2 linked regions of the Tribolium castaneum genome follow. The protein of the gene in region 1 interacts with the protein of each later gene in a biochemical or structural test. Links are inferred from orthologs where the notes say so. Each region holds a gene or a part of one and is shown in the gene's direction. Other genes may lie near its edges.

The links.
Region 2: of the proteins of UbcE2M (region 1) and APP-BP1, one has a biochemical effect on the other in vitro, tested with the Homo sapiens proteins (4 studies listed by BioGRID, with this or other methods). The link is inferred for Tribolium castaneum from reciprocal best matches to the Homo sapiens genes UBE2M and NAE1.

What each region holds. Positions count from the first base shown.
Region 1 is NC_087394.1:37,270,728-37,273,809, reverse strand, and holds UbcE2M (NEDD8-conjugating enzyme Ubc12), read left to right. Parts: upstream 1-1,330; 5' UTR 1,331-1,502; coding exon 1,503-1,608; intron 1,609-1,654; coding exon 1,655-1,749; intron 1,750-1,800; coding exon 1,801-2,148; 3' UTR 2,149-2,428; downstream 2,429-3,082. Other genes in the region: msk (importin-7), read right to left, coding at 2,764-2,828, 2,882-3,025, 3,081-3,082.
Region 2 is NC_087394.1:31,701,860-31,705,793, reverse strand, and holds the start of APP-BP1 (nedd8-activating enzyme E1 regulatory subunit), read left to right. Parts: upstream 1-1,429; 5' UTR 1,430-1,561; coding exon 1,562-1,629; intron 1,630-1,679; coding exon 1,680-1,844; intron 1,845-1,891; coding exon 1,892-2,074; intron 2,075-2,121; coding exon 2,122-2,408; intron 2,409-3,205; coding exon 3,206-3,645; intron 3,646-3,692; coding exon 3,693-3,934. UniProt on the Homo sapiens protein: Regulatory subunit of the dimeric UBA3-NAE1 E1 enzyme. E1 activates NEDD8 by first adenylating its C-terminal glycine residue with ATP, thereafter linking this residue to the side chain of the catalytic cysteine, yielding a NEDD8-UBA3 thioester and free AMP.

The sequences.
Region 1 (3,082 bases):
TTTGAAGGTTAAATAATCTAGGAAAAAAACTGTTATTCTTTTATGCAAACTCATCGTGATTTACATTTACAATATGCTCCCAAATATTTTTTTACACCTCATAACAGCATGGAGAAAAATATCTACTTTGACTAAGTCTCATTTAATTCGTAATAATTGTTGTGATGGATCATCAAAAATTAAATGTAATGACTGGTGCTTTTTAAAAGGAACTGATGTGATATAATATTATTTGCAGATAATATGCAAGAATAATTGCACAATAATTTTTATTTAACACAATTTTTTTCCTAAAATTAGATATAGGATCAAACAAACAATATTAATAAACGAAAAATACAAGCTTTTTAAATTAATGAATTATTGATTGATAACTAGAAAAGCCATTTCTCTGAAGTCGTCTGTAAAATGGTTACATTACAGACCATATTTATTTGGGTTCAAAATAGTCTCTAGAGTGTCGTACTTTTCAAAGCTCATAAAATGTGATAACTGATGACGTGATGAGTGATGAGACTTTGTGTGAAATGACTGCATTTCCAATTTTTTTTAAGAAACTTGGAAAATTATCAATTCAGAAAAGCACTAAATTTGTTTTTTACACTCAGATGAGTCAGATGGTTATCTCCTCTGCTATCTATCACTTTAGACAACAAACCCCATATTCATGAAAACTCAATTTTAATTTAAATATTACAATATTTTAGGCAAAATGCTAAAATATTTTTTAATTAATAATTTCGTAAAAAAATTAAAATTGCTCAAACCGTCGCGTCGTCTGCGTTGATAGTTGAATGACAATTAACGAAGACGACGCGACGGCTCAAACCCGTGGCCCAAACTTTGCAAAAGTTGCTCTGCGCGTCAAAATGTAGTACCGTATAAAATTTCAATAACGATGCTTTAAAATATTAGGGTTGGATTTATATTAACAAATAAATTAGAAATGTGTACACTTACCTTTGAGTAACTGCAAACATTCGTTTCAATGTTCATCTGTGGTCTGGTGGTCAACAAACTAATACACAAACTAAAAACACAATAACGAACAGTTCTAAAACGCTCCTAAACCGAAATAATTCGTTTCACAGAATAATTTTACGAATTTCAACAACTCAAGACGCGAAAAATCCGCAGAGGATGACAAACGCACCAGTAGTACCAATGTAATAACAACGGCACGAAATAAATTAATTTAAATAGCTTTGAACATAGTCTTCTGATGGTCTGCTTTATTGATTTGGATCTTTTGATTAAGTGCTTTGCAGAAAAATTCTTAGCATTAGCAATAAATGAATTTTTTAAATTTTTTCATTAAGAATTCGTTCCGATGGTAAAGTAAATTCCTGCATGTCCCATTGACAGTTTTGACATTGACAGATGTGTGAAAAATTCTCTTGCAAAAAGCAATCGAATAAACTCGACTTTCCCATGTTTTTGTAAAGTGTGCTCGCAGTAAATTACATTGCTCTGACCCCTCACCACCCCTGCGCCAGCCAAATATGATAAAACTATTCTCGCTGAAGCAACAGAAAAAAGATGGAGAAGCCTCACCGCGACCAGGAAATCAAAAGAAAGCCTCTGCAGCCCAGTTGAGGATTACGAAAGGTTGGTTGTGAGTCATTGCGCCCCCATTTTGACCCTCCCTTTGCAGATATCAACGAGCTGAACCTGCCCAAGACCTGCACGACGGAGTTTCCCGATCCGGACGACTTGCTGTCTTTCAAACTGGTGATTTGTCCGGATGAGGTTAGTTGTGGATTAGTGTGTGGGGTTGTGGTTAATTGGGGGGACGTTTAGGGTTTCTACAAGACAGGGAGGTTCGTATTCAGTTTCAAAGTGGGCCCCAATTACCCGCATGAGCCCCCCAAAGTCAAATGCGAGACACAGGTCTACCACCCCAACATCGACCAACAGGGCAACGTGTGCTTGAACATTTTAAGGGAGGATTGGAAGCCCGTACTGACTATCAACAGTATCGTCTATGGACTGCAGTATTTGTTCCTTGAACCCAATCCAGAGGATCCTTTGAACAAGGAAGCGGCTGAAGTGCTCACGACCAACAGGCGGCTGTTTGAGCAGAACGTCCAGAAGGCGATGCGTGGAGGGTATGTTGGCAGTACTTATTTCGACCGCTGTCTCAAGTGATTCTTATGTGTAAAGAACTTATTTATAAGTTTACTGTTTTATGCTCGTTGACGAGGACACTCGAGTGATTCTTGCATACCTAATTACTAATTTCGTTTATTAAAGCTACCACTATGTTGTTTTATTTGGCTTTTTCATCTCAATCGTTCTATTGTGATCATCATATCTCACTCCAGCGTAAAGCACCACAAAGCGGTGTGTTGTAATTTCTCCTCAGTGAAATGTAACTGATTTAATTAAGAAAATAGATAATTTTTCATAATAAAAATCTACAAAAATTCGAAGCAATTCTTTATTAAAATGCAATAACTTAACACCTTTCAGTATATTATAGAAATAATGTAATTTACTACATTGTCTTTCCCTAAAGAAGAAAACAAATGAGACAAAAGAGACACAGTCGAAAAATAATTACAATTACACGGAAAATAAACTTCCATTTAAATCTATATTAGGTAAATTTAAATCGTTTACATCCGTTTTTTTTTTGTTTAATAAAAAGGCACTTAATAAAAATTAAAAAAGATTAAATTACCAACTGTACATCATTTCACTGGTCTTAACAGTCAATTTTACATTCAGTCACAAAAATTTTACACACCACGTCACATATATTCATGACGGTTTTGGAGCGCCAAACTTAAAAGTTGTGGGTACTTCATGTTGTGTAAACATAAAACCTGGACAAACAAAATTAATTTGTTATTCCCCCAACACTATCATATAATTTTACCTCCCGATTGTTCAATTCTTTTACTTTCTTTGGCTGCTTTCCTCTGATCCGCTAACACACAAATATCTACCAAATTCTTCTTTTGTTGTTCGGTTAAATTGGCCGTGAGGGCATTATACCATTCAGGCTGACAACGTTCCAATCCTTGAAATTTTATTTTATAAATCTAAAAAATTGAACAATTAAACACGTTACTTACTA
Region 2 (3,934 bases), about 5.6 Mb from region 1:
CAATTTTAAGATTTTTGTTTAATAAAAACCACCCCTTTACTTATCAGATAAATGTTTCAGCAAGACAAAAATTAAGCAAAACTGTAGGAGTTAAAGAATTACAAAAGAACAAAAAAATCTACTATTTTTGCTAATATTTCAAAATCTTTAAATTAGGTTTCATCAAAGGTTTTTTTTCCGTTGGTAATTCATATATCACGCTTGGGAAATAAAAATTACGTAAAACACACCACTTTTATCAACATTTTCCAACTTCAAAACGTGATTTAACTGAATTTTAAAAATTCCGTGCCCTGTTAAAGCTTGGTTTGTTAATTATTTGACTGAATGCAATCAGAACTGGTAACAGTACCACATAAAAAATACCAAAAACAATACTATAAAGTAACGTTTTGTAGCATTGTTTTTTTTTTAATAAAATTGTGTTAAAAAACAGGTAATTGGTAAATTAAAATTAAATGCGAAATTGAAAAAAAATTAATAAAATTACAAAGAATACAGAAAAATTAACCTTTGTGCCTTGCTATTTATTTCTGCAATTTGAAATAAATCAATTGTTGTAGTGGCTTTTTCGTTTATATAAGTAAGAAATGTATTATTTCAAACATATCCGTTAGAAACAAAGAAACATGAAGTGAAAATCTGAAAATTTTATAGGAGCAAAATTCAGCAAAAAGGCTTAATTCTGCAAATGATGCAAGACAAGGCAAGAAAACTGATTCAGTTTGTGTCCCTTGTTAATAAAAAGCTTCTTTGAAATCGAGACCACGTGTTTTTTAGATGTTCTCTAAAATTTTAACCAACTATCCTCCATCTCCCCTATGTGGAATGAACTCCTATGCACAATTATCTAGAGTGCTGATTTATTTAATATTGCCCAGATTTCATGCTACCTTGATTAAAAAGAAGAAACAGACAAAAAGGTTTTTTGAACGAAGATAAACCGTTTTTTTTTAAACCGGTGCCGGAACCAGTACTTGTAAATGAAACCCTATAATAAAAAAATGACATACCTGATAATGAACAGAATACGAACTTGGAAACACTGACTTTATCGCGATAGCAAATACAATAAAAATTTAACACTTTAACACCGAATAAAATTAAAACACAATTTCACGTGTAAGGACTTGCATGTCCCAAGAATCGCAGATGTCGCCCTTTTAATTTTCTTCGGCAATCATCGTTTTGCAACGGTTTACCTCTCCATTGATCTGTAAAATATAGAGCGCAAACTGTATCAAATTTGTTAATTAAATCATTTATTTTGCGGCCTAACAGCAAAATAAACTTACTTTAAATTAGCATAGTTGTTTAGGAATATAATGCAATGAAATATTAACGTAATCCTACAAGTATAATTTTATTGCGTAATGTTTCCAATCTAGAAATTTTTCACTTCTAATACATATTTTAGTGATTTTTATTTCCAAAACTAGTGCAAATTGCCGGCATTGAAAGCTGACATTTGGAGTGAAAAAGGCCGACAGTTTTTTAAATTTTACAAGAAGTTATTGTTGTGTAACACATAAAAAGCCTTGTTTTAAGTTTTTAATCGATAATGTCATCTCCCGCGCCAAAGTCGCCGGAACAAAGCGAAAAGAGCAAAAAATACGACCGGCAGTTGAGGTTAGTCAACATTGACCAGTCATTTTTCAAAAAATAAACGAAAATTATAGATTATGGGGCGATCACGGTCAGAAATTTCTCGAAAACTCAAAGATTTGTCTAATTAACGCCACCGCTTTGGGTACGGAAATTCTCAAAAGTTTGGTTTTGCCTGGCATTGGTTCCTTCACGATTGTTGATGGTGAAAAAGTAACTGATGATGATATTGGTTCAAAGTAGGAGTTTTAAAATTAAGGAACGTTGTCTGAATCAGTTGTTTTAGCTTTTTTATCGAGAGTGATTCAATAGGGATGTCTAGAGCACAGGTAGCCACTCAAAACCTACTTGAGCTGAACCCTGATGTTAGAGGGGACTACATTGACGAGTCCGTTGACCACATTATGGCCCACAGTCAAGATTTTTTTGACACGTTTTCTGTCGTAATTGCAACGTGTTTGCCAGAAAAGTAAAATCAATAGAAATGACGTCAGGAAATAATTGATCAAATTTTAGAGTTTTAATGCCGCTCTCTAGACACTTATGGGAAAAAAATGTACCACTTATTGTATGCCGCAGTGTGGGCTTTCTGGGCTACATAAGAATACAAGTCAAAGAACACACCATAATAGAAGCCCACCCTGATAACGAAAATCATGATTTACGCTTAGATAATCCATGGCCTGCACTTAAAGAACATTTGGATAAAGTTGATGTAACCAAACTAGACAACAAGGAACGCAGTCATGTGCCTGCGGTGGTTATTCTGTACTATTATTTGGCGCAGTTTAAAAGCAAACACGGTAAATTTCTGGTCAAAGTGGCCGTAATTTTGAAACAAAGTTGGCAATGCTGTTGTTAGGTTTTGTCAGATGACCATACTAACGATGTGCATTTGTTAGTTATGCTGCCAACTTAATTTTTAAGTCATAGGCCACTCTGATAGAGTTACTTGAAACCATGAAAGATTCTATACAGGGTGCTCAAGTCACGTACCAACTCAGTGGTACTGCAAAAATTCTGACTTATTTTCTTATAAGTTTGTATGTCTACTGAAAAATTCTAACAGTACTTGAATTAAAAAAAATTGTATAAACCTTGGGACTTCTCGATCGTCTCATTGACAACATCAAAACTGTTTTTTAAAGTGAATAAAGTCAAACATTCAATTTTTCTATAAAATAAAAAACAAACAAAGCTTGTTAAAAAAGTTTTCAACAGAAGAATCGCTCCTTGGGACCTTAAATACCTTGATAACATAAATTAAATTTTTTATTTGTCTTTCCACGTAGCGATTTTCTTGATTTTCGCAGAAAATAAAGCTTGTCACAAGGGCTTGCGGTCGTGAAAAGATGAAGAATCAAAAATCATTCTTTAGGGCTTTAATAATTTTTTTATTCAATTTGTTTCAACTAAACTAGTAAAAATATTGTTGTATTCTTCCAAAATACTTTCTACAATTTTTCACTTATAAATGTCCTAAACTTCCTGAAAGCGTTAATTTTTTCTTGTTTGGTTGAAATAAATTTAAATAGTCCAATTTTTTATTGAGTTGGTGCCCACGTTTTTGAGCATTCTGTATACAAAACTTAATTGTTAGGCCATTTACCGAAAACTCGAGCCGAAAAGGAAGAAGTTAAAAAAATGATAACGGAAAGCCCCCCGCCTGATGAACACGGAATTAAGAACTTGGAGGAGAATTTTAAAGAGGCTATTCGCTACATTAATACTTGTATTAACCCCATCAAGATTCCCCCAAATTTGCAAGCAATTCTGGAGGACGATAGCTGCATAAATGTGAACCAGAACAGTTCACCTTTTTGGGTTTTATGTGCGGCCTTGAAGGAATTTGTTGAAAAAGAAGGGGCGCCCCCTTTGAAAGGGACTTTACCAGATATGGCAGCTGACACCAGTAGCTACATCACGTTGCAACAACTCTACCAAAAACAGGCTCAAACCCAGTGTGAAATTATCTACAGGAGGGCGTTAGAAATTGCGCGAAATTTGGGCCTCTCTCAAGAGACCATAACCGAATCTGAAGTAATTTCCTGTTTTAGTGTTTTTCTGTATTGAATTCTTGGTTTCAGGCTAAGCTATTTTGCAAGCATGCGAGTGAGTTACATGTGATTCGTGGCAGTTGCATTGCTGATGAATATCAAAAAACTAGAGTAGATCTAACGTCATGTCTTGAGGATCCTGATAGTTTGATGTTCCATTACATAACTCTAAGAGGGCTAGAGCGCTTTATCAGTGAATTTAATAGTTATCCAGGGCAATTGGATGACCATGTGGAGCCTGATGTGCTTAAATTGAAGGGCATTATTGGGAA